Saccharomyces cerevisiae S288C: one gene and its partners. Changing the gene in region 4 together with the main gene of any one other region gives a genetic interaction. Each region holds a gene or a part of one and is shown on either strand. Other genes may lie near its edges. The genes, in order: YPL245W, PTC2, SST2 and TOF2.

The links.
Region 1: mutations in TOF2 (region 4) and YPL245W together harm fitness more than expected from each alone (negative genetic interaction), as found in Saccharomyces cerevisiae (2 studies listed by BioGRID).
Region 2: mutations in TOF2 (region 4) and PTC2 together harm fitness more than expected from each alone (negative genetic interaction), as found in Saccharomyces cerevisiae (2 studies listed by BioGRID).
Region 3: mutations in TOF2 (region 4) and SST2 together harm fitness more than expected from each alone (negative genetic interaction), as found in Saccharomyces cerevisiae (2 studies listed by BioGRID).

Annotation. Positions count from the first base shown.
Region 1 is NC_001148.4:83,761-87,515, forward strand, and holds YPL245W (uncharacterized protein), read left to right. Parts: upstream 1-1,825; coding exon 1,826-3,190; downstream 3,191-3,755. Other genes in the region: YPL247C (uncharacterized protein), read right to left, coding at 1-436; putative rhomboid protease RBD2, read right to left, coding at 749-1,537; UDP-galactose transporter HUT1, read right to left, coding at 3,254-3,755.
Region 2 is NC_001137.3:335,410-339,256, reverse strand, and holds PTC2 (type 2C protein phosphatase PTC2), read left to right. Parts: upstream 1-1,916; coding exon 1,917-3,311; downstream 3,312-3,847. Other genes in the region: anthranilate synthase TRP2, read right to left, coding at 1-1,308. UniProt on the Saccharomyces cerevisiae protein: Dephosphorylating regulator for many key proteins. Dephosphorylates the cell cycle master regulator CDC28/cyclin-dependent kinase 1; its activity appears redundant with phosphatase PTC3.
Region 3 is NC_001144.5:1,038,705-1,043,185, reverse strand, and holds SST2 (GTPase-activating protein SST2), read left to right. Parts: upstream 1-1,819; coding exon 1,820-3,916; downstream 3,917-4,481. Other genes in the region: RIF2 (Rif2p), read left to right, coding at 200-1,387; leucine-responsive transcriptional regulator LEU3, read right to left, coding at 4,433-4,481. UniProt on the Saccharomyces cerevisiae protein: Desensitization to alpha-factor pheromone. Is involved in regulating the signaling pathway for responding to mating pheromone.
Region 4 is NC_001143.9:458,408-463,148, reverse strand, and holds TOF2 (Tof2p), read left to right. Parts: upstream 1-1,909; coding exon 1,910-4,225; downstream 4,226-4,741. Other genes in the region: chromatin-associated RNAPIII regulator FPT1, read left to right, coding at 453-1,514.

The DNA of each region.
Region 1 (3,755 bases), on a different chromosome or scaffold from region 4:
AACCCAAGCAGACGTAGTCGTCGGCGCTCCAATCGAGCCCAAAGAGTGGATAGTGTGATTGATATTCGCACACGGAGGCCATGGAAGGGTTCATCAGATTGCTTACAACCGGAATATTTGCAGCATAGCCCCTCGCCTGCTGTAACTGAGAATGATTTGGTGAAAAAACTGGTGGCGAGAAATCTAACGGTGAATACATCGGCGATCGACTTGCATAGTACGTGGCACTTAGGTCACAGCCACTATTCCTTTTGCTGTTACCGCCATTGGTAGTGTTGCCAGACATTCCAAAGGGAGATGGGCCTCTACCTTGATCTTGTGCCGCCGAGGAAGGCCCATTAGTACCACTCAAGTAATTGTTCTTGTTATATGGCTGCCGCTGCGATGAGCCAAACGATATTGAGCTCCTTTTATTGCCATTGTGAAAGGGATCCATTTGAAGGGCGTGTATTTGCTCCTATAATTCCTTTCCTTCTTGTTGTCTGTTGACCCTTTAGGTTGTATGCCACTCTCGAAAACCTAAAGAACTGATTACTAAATTATTTATACAAGATTTCAGATGACAAGATGGTTCACCCCTTGCCCCTGGTCTTCCTCCCAGTAATTATTCATATTCCATTTTTTTTCATAAACGCACGCTAAGGAAAAAGAAGAGACTGAAAATTCTTGCATATTAGAATATAAAATGATATATACTACATTTATATACATCCTTAAACTGTGAAAGAAAGAATAGCGATACAAATGTCTAGGCAGTCCCTAGGACAGTGCCGGAGTTGTCATTGTGGAGAGGCAATGGTGTTTCTGTGGACATTAACGGTTCGTAATCTTTAGTTCTGTCGATATCCTCATCTCTGTAATACTTAATTCCCCAAGGTATTAATCGAATTAAACCGTCTAAACTTTTTTCGATTTTGGTGATGATCCATCCTGGTGGAGTGATCTTGTTAAACCACGATTCCTTGTAGCCTATGGCGTAACCGACACATAAGCCGAAAAAATGACCCCAGAAACTGGAGCCAGGTATAACGACGGCAATTGCGACTAATAGTACTAGGGGTGTATATAATGTCGGAATTGAGTAGTCTGTGCGAAAGATCCTTGTTCTAGGGCGGATCTGTGATTCTTTAAAACTATAGTATGCGAATAAGGTGAAACACCACCCACTGGCGCCTGCAACTAATGCTTCTGGATATAGCAACTTACCCAACAAACAGTACAGAATTCCGGCAAATAGAGCACTCAGGTTCAAAAAAACACCTGTGTACACAGTCCCATGCGTTTCTTCGAAGAGATTCAAGGGTGCCCAGATGGCTAGCACATTGAACAGTAAATGAGGCAATGATAGGTGAATTAAAGGATAAAGCGATAGCCTGCTCATTTGCAGTTTGAACAATGACTCTGGCGCCAACGACAGGTCTTCCCTTAGGGCAAAAATAAAACTTAACAGGTAAATAGCGGTTAGAAATACCACAAGGCCTGTGGTCAACGCAGCTGGTGGATGACCACCGGGAAAAACGTACGACTTCCAATTCATAGCACGACCAAATAGCACAACCTAACAACCAGAGTGAATTGCTGTTCTCAGTGCTTCCAATTAAGCCTTTCCCATCCCCCTATTCTTCTTGTATCGATGCAGTTCAAAAAAAAAAAAAAAAAGAGGCTTTAGATCTCAAAGGGCCGAAAAAAGTGAAAAATTTTCTCGAGAAATCATAAAAGCAGCCATCGCCATATATAAACAATCTATGCATATGTATGCAGCATGGCATCGCATCTTTCTTGGCGACCCGGTAGTAGCATTTAACTTCCATTAGAACCATATAAAATGCATGGGCCTACTTCAAAAGCTATTTCCCGCAATGTGAGAAGCGTGAAGAGACCAAGAAGAGCACCTAGGCCCGTGGTCTCCACGCAGGCTATGAACAAGTTGTCTAACGTAACACTCTCTGCTGAACAAGAAAAGTTGAGAGAGCGCGTTTTGTCGTTCATGCGTTCCAACTTATCTCAGTACAAGTCTGACTGGAAACATCCGGCCATGTTTGTAATCCAAGGGGACGCAGGTACAGGCAAGTCTGTGATTCTAAACTCCTTGTTCAATGAAATTCAGAAACTATCCCAGTTCTCACCTTCTTCTGAAGATATCTTACATGGGACACATAATTATCTGGTAGTCAACCATCCCGAGATGTTAAAGTTATATATCCGGATTAGTGACAGTTTCAAATATATTTCTAAATCGTCACTAGAACGGCCCACTTCGTTGATCAACAATCTACAGAAGAGAAAAGTCATGGCCGATGTAGTCATTGTAGATGAAGCACATTTGTTGGCCACTTCTAAGGATGCTTTCAAAAGATTTTATGGCGAAAACCATCTCAAAGACTTAATGTCCCTTTGTAAAGTGCTTGTATTGGTTTACGATGATAAGCAAGCTTTAAGAATGGGTTCCTATTGGGATGAAGGTTCTAATAACGGTGCCACTTTAAAGGACTTTTACAACGAGATTCCACCAAAATCCAGAGACTGGTACACTTTAAAACAGCAGTTTAGGGTTGCTGCCCCACAAAACGTGTTGAACTGGATTGACCAAATTAGTGTCGCAGGTAAAATCCCACCAATTGAATCTGTGCTATCTAAGGGCAATGCAGATTGTGCTGACGATAAAATTAAGAATTTTGATTTCAAAATTTGGGATGATTGTGGCGCCATGTACGAGGCAATCAAGGAGAAAGACCGTCAATACGGCCAATGTAGGATGCTATCTACTTACGATTTTCCCTATCGCTTGGACGGAAAAGACTATTACGTTGAATGTGGTGACAATTTCAAAGTTCGCTGGGATCGCTATACTCCACGTGAAGTGACGCCTTGGAGTGAGCGTTGCGACACGATTGATGAGGTAGGTAGTGTGTATACTATCCAAGGGTTTGATCTGAATTATGCTGGTGTAATTTTGGGCCGTTCCATTGGGTATGATGCGGCTAATGACTGCATCAAACTAAGACCAGAGCTGTATGACGATAGGGCCGGTTTCACCAAAAAGAAAAACATTCACAATGCAGAGGACGTTAAGCAAAAGATTATTATGAATAGCATTAATGTCCTCTTAACTCGTGGCGTGCGTGGTCTGTATGTTTATGCATACGATCCTGAATTAAGAGAGAGACTGCTTCGTCCATCAAAAAAATAGGAAGTACATAGTATAGACAAATTTTATAAATATTAACTTTTATTTGTTGCGATCTTCACTAATCTACGCAGATTTTGCCTTCGGTATATTAGCCTTCTTCTTGTTGAGTGCTTCCCAAGTGATTCCACCAAATACTATAAACATCCCCACCCATTGCTGGAAACGTACACTCTTACCGAAGACAATAATACTCAAAATCATCGAGACCATTTTCCTGGTGACTGTTATCATGATCAAAACTAAAGAGCCAAATTGTTCTAGAGTATAGAAAATAAAGCATTGTCCCATAGCGCCACAGAACGAATAAAGCATTAAATAGCCCCACACTTGTGGGTCCATCGTCAATACAGAAACGGCATTATCCCATTGTTTGCAGTCGATCACAATAAAATACAAAATATTCCACAATATCACGAAGAGGTTCAGTGTAAACATCAAGTGTGCACCTGTTATCAAAGTTTGTTTTCCCTTTTCTTTGGCCTTATTGGCCTTTAGTAGCTTATCTTGGGTGGCGTTGGTCAATCCATCAAGGAATAAACTAGAGAAAAGTAGTCCAAACCCTTGT
Region 2 (3,847 bases), on a different chromosome or scaffold from region 4:
ACCTACGGCGCCTGCATAAACCCCACGCCTTTCTCCTTCTAGTTCGGCAATCAATTCCATGGCTCTAACCTTTGGAGCACCACTGACAGTACCTGCAGGGAAAATCGATCTGAATGCATCAAATCTTGTCTTTTCTGGGCGGAGAACACCGCTGACTTGAGAAACCAGATGTTGGACATGAGAAAATTTTTGAATAGTTAACAGTTTATCGACACTTGTTGTTAATGGGTCACAAATTCTGTTAATATCGTTTCTTGCTAAATCTACCAGCATAACATGTTCTGCACGGTCTTTTAACGAGCCACGTAATTGGTCCGCTAAAGCATCATCCTCTTCAGTAGTAGCCCCACGTTTGACAGTACCAGCAATTGGATGGGTAATGACTCTATTTTTGGAATCCGATTTGCACAACAATTCTGGAGATGCACCAATGATTTGGAAATCCAAACAATCAATATAAAACAGGTAAGGAGATGGGTTCACTGTACGTAAATGTCTGTAAATATTGAAAGGATGTAACGAAGTTGGCCTTGCCACTCTTTGCGATGGCACACCTTGAATAATATCACCTTTCTTAATATGCTTCTTCAAAGTGGAGACGTGATTTTCGTAACCTTCCTTGCCCACATTCGATTCAAAAGTTTGATTCAATTTAATAGGAGGTTGTTCTGGATATGGTATTGGCGAGGAATCGTCGGTTAGCTTTGATACGATATCAGTGATTATTTGTGCTGCAGCTTGGTAACCTTCCTCCAACGAAGTTTCATTGGTATTAATGTTATGAATGATTTGAAATCTCTGAAAAACATTATCAAAGGCAATAATGGTATCACAAAGCATTAAATATGCCTCTGGAAGTCTTAGGACATCTTTCAAAGGCCTTCTTGTTTTTGGCTCGAAATAACGAACACAGTCATAAGAAATATAACCAATAGCACCACCACTTAATTTCGGTAAACCAGGAACATTTTCGGCTACTTTAAAGGTAGACATCTCCTTTTCCAAAATTTCCAAAGGATCTGTTTCAATGCCTTCAGTAGGACCGGTTTTGATGGTCTTGCGTGGCGAGATACCTATGAATGAATAACGATCTAATTCATTATTTGTCTTAGCACTTTCCAACAGAAATGATTCCTTTCTATCAGGGTTGTTCAATTGTGCCAATTTTAGATATGCCACGTGAGGAGTCAGATCCAATGATGGCAAATACGCATACACGGGATACATATTTATGGAACTATCGTCATTTTGCTGCTGTAATTGCTTTAGAGAGTCAATATCCGGTTGAATTTTGATGGAAGCGGTCATTTTTTGCCTTTTTTCCAATCAGAATATCAGTGCTAATTATCGATTGTGGCCTCGGTTTTAAAGTGATGATTGCCTTCTGCTACGATGGACCATAGCCCTTTAGTCATGTTAATATATCAAAATCTAACAATACTTCGATGAGTGAAAAATCGTAATGAGTCAGCAAATCACTGTGTACGTTAATGCCTTTAACAACTTTTTTTTTCCCACAAACTACTTCAACGATTGAAAGGATTATTCTAAAAAAAAAAATATCATGCTGATAAATGGAAGGGGATGGTAAAACAAAGAAAACCAGCCAATTCGGATTCTGACAGAGCAAATTGAAACTGGATATTATAGTGCTAAGTATATAGACTTCTGTTTTGTTCTTTAAAACTAAATAAAAAAAATTCACCCTCCTCCCCACGGAATAAAACTACAACAAGTTCTGTTATCAAGGACAATTAGTGTATATTAGTTGTTGTAACATTTTTTACTTTCTCTTTTTTTTTTTCATTGATTAATTATAACTATTCGTTCGAGATAGTAGTTTTCCGATTAATAACATCCCTAGGATTTTGACTATTCCATTGTTGTATAAAATATAGAGAACCAGAAAAAGAAAAATGGGACAAATTCTATCAAACCCGGTAATTGATAAAGAGAGCCACTCCGGTGCTGACTCCTTGACCGCGTTTGGACTGTGTGCAATGCAAGGGTGGCGGATGTCAATGGAGGATTCACACATTCTAGAGCCTAATGTTTTGACAAAGTCCGATAAGGACCATATTGCATTTTACGGTATATTCGATGGTCATGGTGGCGCTAAAGTAGCAGAATACTGTGGTAATAAAATAGTGGAGATCCTGCAAGAGCAGAAATCGTTCCATGAAGGAAATTTACCAAGGGCTTTGATTGATACTTTCATAAACACAGACGTGAAACTGTTACAAGATCCTGTGATGAAAGAAGACCATAGCGGATGTACGGCTACATCCATATTAGTATCAAAGTCCCAGAACTTGTTAGTATGTGGTAACGCTGGTGACAGTAGAACCGTACTCGCCACCGACGGGAACGCAAAGGCATTATCATACGATCACAAGCCCACTCTAGCAAGCGAAAAATCACGTATTGTGGCAGCTGATGGCTTCGTAGAAATGGATAGGGTCAACGGTAACTTGGCGCTCTCTCGTGCCATTGGTGATTTTGAGTTCAAATCCAACCCCAAATTGGGCCCCGAGGAGCAAATAGTGACATGTGTTCCGGACATTCTCGAGCATTCTCTAGATTACGATAGGGACGAGTTTGTAATCTTAGCCTGTGATGGTATCTGGGATTGTTTGACTTCCCAAGATTGTGTGGACTTGGTTCATCTCGGCCTTCGCGAAGGCAAGACATTGAATGAAATTTCTTCGCGGATCATCGATGTCTGTTGTGCTCCCACCACAGAGGGGACGGGTATTGGATGCGACAACATGAGTATAGTGGTTGTCGCGCTGCTGAAAGAAGGTGAAGACGTCGCTCAATGGAGCGACCGTATGAAGTCCAAGGCCCACCGCACATCAGTGCGTTCTTTTGCAGACAAGAGAAGAAGGGTGTTTAGTTACTACGATTTTTCCAAATGTAACGACGAACAGGTGTTCGCTATCACTACGAAGAAACCTCAGGACAAATTCACTCGCGACCACGAAGCCGCTGTGGCCTCGGTGACTGCCGCCGATAACGACGATCCAATGGACATAGACGACACGGACGCTGACACAGATGCAGAAAATCTTGACCCTTCCAGCCAATCCAAGAGCAAGACCTCCGGCCCCATTGATCTAGCATCCTTGGAGGCGCTACTTGGTGCTACAGGAGGAGTGAAGACAGACAGCAACGGGAACAAAGTCACCTACACTCTTCCCCAGTCTGCCTTGGCCCAACTGCTCCAAACCATGGGCCATGACCCGGCTTCCTCCCATCCCGAGAATGACAGTAACACTGACCACAAGGCCGGCCGTTCCCACTTGCAATGAAGGATCTTCCATCCTTCATTATATATACATACCTATATACGAACCGAACGAACAGAAAGAGAAGAGAAGACGCAAGACACCACCAGAACCAAGAGCATACACCACTACCACCACCATCGCTACCAACAGCAGGATATCCGGATGCAGTTTGACGCTTGAAGATGGTATTCACCTCAGGGGTAAACGCGCAGAAACTGCGCGTTTACCTGCAGCGACGCCACAAAAACGGACCGGCCCGGCCAGAGGGTGAGACCAGCAGCGGCCCCGTTGTGAAATCTCACCCCCAGTCCCGGATGGGCACGAGTCCCCAGCGCCCGTCCCATGAGGTCCTCCTAAGGTAGACAGCGCGGATGTTTCCGATGCAAAGGAGAAAGGATGGACGGTACAGACATCGTAGACAGGATTCGCGCATTGCCTTGCACATCTGTGCCCCATCCAATCTACCGTATCTATTGTTATCGTCGTGTGTGCTACTCTTTTCTCCGACAGCCTCGACAAGACGGAATCAGAAAGTGCACACAGTTTAAAAAGGAAAA
Region 3 (4,481 bases), on a different chromosome or scaffold from region 4:
AGGTCAAAGGGCAACCCGGCTTAGTTATCTTGAAAGTTATTATTTTAGTTTTCTAATTTTGCAGCTGTTTTCAATGAAGAAAACATTGCGCTTACAGATATGTACAGAAGGGATCTTCTTAACCATCAATTTCAATAAGTTAGAACAATATATGTACGAATATAGATATAAATACGAACGTGGTTAGTATATAGAGACAATGGAGCATGTAGATTCCGATTTTGCACCTATAAGGAGATCGAAAAAGGTTGTTGACAGTGACAAGATTGTGAAAGCAATAAGCGATGATTTGGAGCAAAAAAATTTTACTGTACTGAGAAAGTTGAACCTTGTTCCAATTAAAAAAAGTGTTAGCAGCCCAAAGGTGTGTAAGCCGAGTCCAGTTAAGGAGCGAGTGGACCATGTTTTCTACCAGAAGTTCAAATCAATGGCCTTGCAAGAGCTAGGCACCAATTATTTGTCAATAAGCTACGTTCCGAGCTTAAGTAAGTTTCTTTCAAAAAATCTTAGGAGTATGAAAAATTGTATCGTTTTCTTCGACAAAGTTGAACATATACACCAATATGCTGGTATCGACCGTGCAGTTTCAGAAACACTGTCTTTAGTCGATATAAATGTCGTAATTATAGAAATGAATGACTACTTAATGAAAGAGGGTATTCAATCAAGCAAATCAAAAGAATGTATCGAGTCAATGGGGCAGGCTTCATATAGCGGACAACTAGATTTCGAAGCTAGTGAAAAACCTTCAAATCACACGTCTGACCTAATGATGATGGTTATGAGGAAAATAAATAATGACGAAAGTATCGATCATATTGTCTACTTCAAATTCGAACAATTAGATAAATTATCTACTTCAACTATAATAGAACCTTCGAAGCTTACCGAATTTATCAATGTTTTATCGGTACTTGAAAAAAGTAATAACATTGCATTTAAGGTCCTCATTTATTCAAATAACGTTAGCATTTCGTCTCTCCTATCGACATCCCTCAAAAAGAAACTCAACACAAAATATACTGTGTTTGAGATGCCGATATTAACATGCGCTCAAGAACAAGAATATTTGAAAAAAATGATAAAGTTTACCTTTGATTCCGGAAGCAAGTTATTACAGTCTTACAACTCGCTTGTCACATGCCAGTTGAATAATAAAGAATCCAACTTAGCAATCTTTTTCGAATTTTTGAAGGTCTTTCCGCACCCTTTTACCTATTTGTTTAACGCTTACACTGAGATTATAGTCCAGAGTAGAACTTTTGATGAATTGTTGGATAAGATCAGAAACAGACTGACAATAAAAAATTACCCACATAGTGCTTATAACTTTAAGAAAAACCAGCGTCTTCCACTTAAGTTAACTCGAAAAGTACATGATAGATAAATTACCAAGGTCTTTTGAAAGAGTTCGAACAATACAAAGAGATGGCAACTCCTTTGGAAAAGTTCAAGTTGAACCACCTCCGTTGTCTCTATTAATGAAGAAGCCATGAAGTATGCGAAGTTTTAACTGAATCATCTTCAATAATTATGGGATGTCTGGGTTTTAAACGTTTCATAATATTCAATTTTGAAACAATGATCCCAATACTGCTTTTTTTTTGACTAGGACTTGGATTTGGTTGCTGGTGCGTTAGAATTGTTGTCTGTCCTGTTATATTTATACCGGTGAATGAAATCATAATCCCAGCTCTGTCTTTACTTCTCATCGTCCTTTAACTTTGGAGGTGTTACTGTCGTACGTTCCTTCTAGGTTTTGCACGCACTATCTGAGGCGTTATAGGTTCAATTTGGTAATTAAAGATAGAGTTGTAAGATGGTGGATAAAAATAGGACGTTGCATGAATTATCTTCCAAAAATTTCAGCAGAACGCCGAATGGACTGATCTTTACCAATGATTTAAAGACAGTATATTCCATTTTTCTAATTTGTTTGGATTTGAAAGAGAAAAAACATAGTAGTGACACTAAGTCTTTCTTATTAACTGCATTCACTAAACATTTCCACTTCACTTTTACATATCAGGAAGCTATTAAAGCAATGGGACAATTGGAACTAAAAGTGGATATGAACACAACTTGTATTAACGTTTCATATAATATTAAACCTAGTTTGGCGCGCCACCTTCTTACATTATTTATGTCTTCTAAGCTACTACATACACCGCAGGACAGAACTCGTGGCGAGCCAAAAGAGAAAGTTCTTTTCCAACCAACACCTAAGGGAGTTGCTGTTTTACAAAAGTATGTTAGAGATATTGGGTTGAAAACAATGCCTGATATTCTTTTGTCATCGTTTAACTCCATGAAACTTTTCACTTTTGAGAGAAGCTCTGTCACGGATTCAATCATCCATAGTGATTATTTGATCCATATTCTTTTCATTAAAATGATGGGCGCTAAGCCAAATGTTTGGTCTCCAACAAACGCAGATGACCCATTACCTTGCCTATCTTCGTTGTTGGAATACACTAATAATGATGATACATTTACTTTTGAGAAATCTAAGCCAGAACAAGGATGGCAAGCTCAGATTGGAAACATCGATATAAATGACTTAGAAAGGGTATCGCCATTAGCTCATCGATTCTTTACAAATCCAGATTCTGAGTCGCACACGCAATACTACGTTTCGAATGCAGGTATTAGGTTGTTTGAAAATAAGACGTTTGGCACTTCCAAAAAAATCGTGATTAAGTACACCTTTACAACAAAGGCTATATGGCAGTGGATAATGGACTGTACTGATATTATGCATGTTAAAGAAGCGGTCTCGTTGGCAGCGTTATTTTTAAAAACGGGGTTGATTGTACCAGTTCTTTTACAACCATCACGCACTGACAAGAAAAAGTTTCAAATTAGCAGGTCCTCTTTTTTTACCTTGTCCAAGCGTGGTTGGGATTTGGTTTCTTGGACAGGTTGTAAGAGCAATAATATTAGAGCACCAAATGGTAGCACCATAGACCTAGATTTCACATTAAGGGGTCATATGACTGTTCGTGATGAAAAAAAGACATTGGATGATAGTGAAGGTTTTTCTCAAGACATGCTTATCTCTTCGAGTAATTTAAATAAACTGGACTATGTGCTAACTGATCCAGGTATGAGATATTTATTCAGGCGCCATTTAGAAAAGGAACTTTGTGTAGAAAATTTGGATGTCTTCATTGAGATTAAGAGGTTTTTGAAGAAAATGACAATTCTGAAAAAATTGATAGATTCTAAGCATTGTGATAAAAAATCTAATACCAGTACTTCAAAAAACAATATCGTAAAAACGATTGATTCAGCTTTAATGAAACAGGCCAATGAGTGCCTTGAAATGGCATATCACATTTATTCGTCCTATATCATGATAGGATCACCATATCAATTAAATATCCATCATAACTTGCGTCAGAATATTTCTGACATCATGTTGCACCCTCATTCTCCATTATCGGAACACTTTCCTACTAATCTATACGATCCATCACCTGCATCCGCGGAATCAGCAGCTTCATCAATTAGCTCAACGGAGGCTGACACGTTAGGTGAACCACCTGAAGTGAGTCTAAAACCTTCAAAAAATCTTTCAAATGAAAACTGTTCATTTAAGAAGCAAGGATTCAAACATCAGTTAAAGGAATATAAACCTGCCCCGTTAACTCTGGCAGAAACGCATTCGCCTAATGCATCAGTAGAAAATTCACATACAATTGTTCGTTATGGCATGGACAACACCCAAAATGATACCAAATCGGTTGAATCATTTCCAGCAACTTTGAAGGTCCTCAGGAAATTATATCCCCTCTTCGAGATCGTTAGCAATGAAATGTATAGACTGATGAATAACGATTCCTTTCAAAAATTTACCCAGTCAGACGTATACAAAGATGCTAGCGCTTTAATAGAAATCCAAGAAAAGTGCTAATTTCATTGAGAGTCTTACTCATCTTCAGGTACAATTGCACAAACAGTCCTTTTTTTTTTCTTTAGTTCTCCTAACCTAATATGTCTTGATACCCATAAGGACTGTAAATACTATTACGTATAAATTAAGCGGAGGTGTGATTTGTTATATCAACTATAATATGATTAAATAAAGCCATTTATTATCTAGTATAATTTCCAATCCTGAGATGTGACTAACGTGAGCGCTTACGAATCTTCGCATCATACACCTGTGGCCAAGGCTGGTTGGCGGTTTAAGTCCGTCTGAAAACTTTTTTTTACGTCATTTGAAGATCAAAAGTATTGAACATATACCTAATGACACAGTTTTTTACACTTTTTTTGAGTTAAATTATTCAAGGACAAAAAATAGTGTGCGTAAATGGAAGAAATATAAACGTATATAGAAAATCATTTACCTCTCCTGTAGCACCGCAGTCATTACATAACATTTTTTCGAGGGTAAGTAAACATTACGCAAAAAAAGAAAAGGACTTTAAACCTTGGGATTGAACGCAAATTCATTCATTAAAATATCAACATCC
Region 4 (4,741 bases):
ACTGATAACATGAAAGTGGCCATCCATTCCACTTTCTGTTTTCTTTCTATTGAGTGGTCAGTTAATGTGCTACTTCGCTGAAAACTTCCTTGTTTTAGCATGTGGCATTCTCAGTGTACATAATGATTTATAGCTCAAAGGCTTTTAATGTTTAGGTAGTTACAGACCTTTTGCCGCCGTGAATTTTTGACGTCTTGTAGTGCTGTGATATAATTGGACTATAAATCATTACCCGGCCTTTTAAGGCATGAGTGGCGTTCCAACGTGCTGTCAAAACTATGAGACCAAAAACCAAAACACACCCCTAAGAAATGTATAGGGATTTATATCAGCATAAAGGTGCCATAATTAAAGAGATTTAGCCTGAACCCATTACTATTCTGTTACAGTTAAGTACTCATACAGACAGCTAGAAAAAGAAGAAGAAATACCAAGTACAAAGAAAGGAAACCATGTCCAAGTTAGAAACCGTTTACTTATACGCTGGTGAAGAACAACCACGTGTTAAATTGACCTGTATTAAGGAAGGTCTCACTTTAACTCAGGTTATCAAGTTCGTGCATTCTATTCAAGAATTGTACGGGATTGAGTTGCAAACTTCTGAGACCATAACAGAAAATTTGAAGATAGATTGTGCACCCGCATATTTGAAGCCGAATTGTATTCCCCATTTCTACATTCTCGAATATGAAGAAATAAGTGACACCTTTTTCATTTGGAAATCTGATGGTCGTTGGCAATTAAATAAGTTGTCTGCCTTGTTGTACGTGGATAACGACGCTAACGTGGTTAAGAACACTTCCTGGAAGGAGGTTTTCCAGAATGATCAACGATTTAAAAATTATGATAAACGGGCCTGGTTACAAAATTGTCTAGAAAAAATGAATAGAGATCTCTCAAAACTAAACGTTGAACAATTTTGGTCTCAATATGATAAAATATGTCAAAGCATTGCCAAACAAAAGAAAAAACAGGAACAGTTCAACATGGAGGTTTTCGATAACTTCAAAAATATTGTTTCTATTGCTATCATAAAGACCAAAGTTTTATCGAATAAGCGACTTTTGACAACAACTTTAAAAAATTATCATAACTCGATGAAGAAAAAGTATAACATCCAGGAACAAAATCTTAAGGAAAATAGTTTGGCATCGTGCTCAAACAATGAGCCTTCCGCATCTCTGGAAAGCGAATCAAGACATTTTTCTCCGGTAAATTCGCTGTCTCCTTCATCTTTGAGTACCGATGATGAGGCTGTCTCGACAGACTACATCTATAAAGGTCCTGAGTCTAAACCAAACGTGAATTTCATGCATTCAAGTGCTACAAACGATCTGATCAAGTCAAATTTTGAAAGCTATTTTAAATTGATGGCCGAAGACTATGAAACTTTTGACTTGAGAGCCTGGTCGAGACAAAGACCTCGAAAATTTCAGCTTGTGGAAAAAAAAAAAATCACTAAAAACCCTCCTAATAGCCATCATCCGCATAAAAATGGCAAAATATCATTTTAACTATTTCCGGGAAAACATGTCTTTTTATAGCATCTACATCCATTAAATCAAGAGAATAAAAGTAAAACTCCAAAAGTATGTACGTATATAGAACCAATTATTCAATCATTTATAGAAATGTGACCTGTTTTTTCTCTACTATTGTTACATAGGCATCACGAAAAAAAGTCGCATTATACGATACTGTTATATAATTTTTTTCATATTCTTCAGATCTCAAATGCAAGATGGTCCTAATTTGTTTGTTTGTTTATTTATTAGTTTCGCTGAAGAAGGAAAACAAGTCATTTTTGGTTAGCTACCCAATTATACAAGCATTCAATAAATACGCCAATCTTTTGCCACATTTCTTATAATATCCTTTGCCCTCCTTGGTGTTTGGTTCAAATAAGTAAATGATAAAAATGTGGAGGTTACAGATTGTACTGGTGCCGCCAAGTGCTCAAGATATTATCACATTTCTCGAAGCACGCTTGAATACTCCACAATCAGTGTCTCCTATGGTCCAGTATAATGAAGATATAATTACGCACAACAACAGTATCAATAACTGTAGCGACCCCTCTCCTACGAGCCCGTCTTCGCAAAATTCTATTCAGTCGAATCGTAGTAGTGATTTCATTAACTACCTCCCGAATTGTAAAAAGTTTTTACATTTTACGGACGGTGACAATACCCTTTTACAACTATCTAATGAAATTTTAACTAAATTTGATAGACTTTATCCAAATTTCAAAGAATCCATTGAAATCGTATCTCTACAAGATAGGCATGGTTGTGATTTGGACTCTGAATTTATAATAAAAGACGTATTTGAAAATGATGGTGTGGTTTTGGTAATTTTAAAAGATGAATTAGACTGGAGTAGAAATCAACATATTTCACTTTTACAATTGGCAAGACAGCGGAGACGGCAGGACAACAAGCCATCCACAAAATCCATCGTTACTGAAAAGAGAAAAAAGATCTCTAAGGAAGACTTATCTTCTATATCAAATAAAGATACAATGCATCTAATAGCTAAAAGCTCGCTCAAGAATAACTTCATTAATAAATCAAGAGTATCAACGCCGCTAATGAACGAAATTCTACCGCTTGCAAGCAAGTATGATGCACTGAATAAAGAAAAGTGTCCCATGCCACTTACTTCCACAGTAGTGGCATCAAATGTACACAAAGACGTAAAAGATCACGCTCGTGCTAAAGAGGGAGTTGTAACGCAAGGGAGTGATAACAATAAAGAAAATATACCTTCATCCACTCAACAACAGAAAAATGATGGCGCTAAAAGGGCCGAATCAAAGGATTTAGATCTTTTACGCAATTCGTCAGAAGATGCTGATTATGAACCCGCAGATGAAAACTCCCCTCAAATTTCGTTTGATTCGATTGATACCGACTTCCAATTGAGCACTACTTCTCATACTAATTCTGATATGCATATACAATATTCTAACCCCTCTAGTGGTGCTCATAGTCCCAGGAAGAGTTCCTTAGAAATTAAAGTTCAAAACAAAAAAGGTGATGATCTGCCATTGAACGACAAAGATATAGGTGAGAATTGTAGAAGGATAGAAGCATTTTCAGATGAAGAGGATTTTAATGAAACCGATAATGATCGTGCGGATTCGTTTATCAACAATTCTAAGAAGGCATCGATGGGATTTCGGGATATCAATTCCGACTTGGATAGCGTTTCATTCAACAGTGATATTGAAAATGCAGTACAAAGTACTCAAAGTACCAAAAATGTTGTTTCTCCTCCCTTTTTTCCTGAAAAAGAATTGAATAATCGGTTACATCAAAGTCAAGGTAAGGAAGCCCTATTTCGACTTGTTGAGAAGGAGTTTCCTGATAAATCATTGGGTGCTGCGTCATCTACTTCGCATGCAAAAGACGTAAAAATACAAGAAACTATTCGGAAACTAAATAGGTTCAAGCCAACTGGGGAAACTAAGGTCCAAAAAAGGAATAGTATTACGGAACCATATTACGGAAAATTTGGAATAATGAAGAAAGATAAACCCAAATCCATAACTTCAAAAGGGGTAAGTCTGGAAACAAAGCACTTTGATGATCCCAATACCATTATTTCCGGTGAGAAATTCGCAAAATTTGGTAAAATAAAAGTGAAACGAAAAACTGATGATGTTGGATCGAAAGTTATAGAGTTTAAAAGAAAAAGAAATATGGGGAATAGATCCCTAAAAGATATTTTTGCCAATGCTGGGAAACCGCCAAATGCAGCTTCGACCATAAAAGTAGTCAAATTAATGAGAGATCCTGTTGATAATAGTAAAGACAAAGTGGAGGCAACTTCTAATAGTACGGCTCAGGAACAAGAACAAGTCTCACCCAAGTTGCCAGTTATGAATTCAACTCCTGGAAAAAGAAAAAATGGCCAAGCGATACCGTCCAGTTTAGAAAGAACACCGCAGCTCAAGAAAGTCAAGGTTACCAGGTCGCATTCTTCACCTTCTTCTTCTTCTTCCATGTCACTTGAATCTTCATTGGATAGCTCTTCCTCAGATGATTCGGATGATGATTCTGATTCGAGGAACGTGCAAGTTAAAAAAATTAATTTCAAAACAAGTCATGGACCAGCTGGAAATTCTAATGGAAAACCAATGCTGGATGTGGATGACAATGAAATAAATACAAAGAAGTACCAAACACCTAAATATGTTGAAAGTGATGAAGACGACCAGTAAGTCTGTCAGTAATTATGTTGGGATCTCTCAACCATATCTTAAATATTCTTGGCGAATTGTAGTAATTTTTTAGACTGGTTAATGATATCATAATTAAATCTTCAAAAGCAACCAACAAAAGAGAACTAATAGCGTACGGTATGCATCAATTATATATGATTATAACGGACTTTTATTCATGGACGTTTATATCATTCTGGATTATTCGTCATTATTGTTCATTGTTGAACACAATATAAAAAAATATAAAATATGGTTGCTAAGAGATTCGAACTCTTGCATCTTACGATACCTGAGTATTCCCACAGTTAACTGCGGTCAAGATATTTCTTGAATCAGGCGCCTTAGACCGCTCGGCCAAACAACCACTTATTTGTTGAAAATTTTAGAATTCAAGTATACCCAGTCATGTATTAAGTTAATCTTTATGTCATCTTTCTAAACTTTATATGTGTTGGAATAAAAATCCACTATCGTCTATCAACTAATAGTTATATTATCAATATATTATCATAT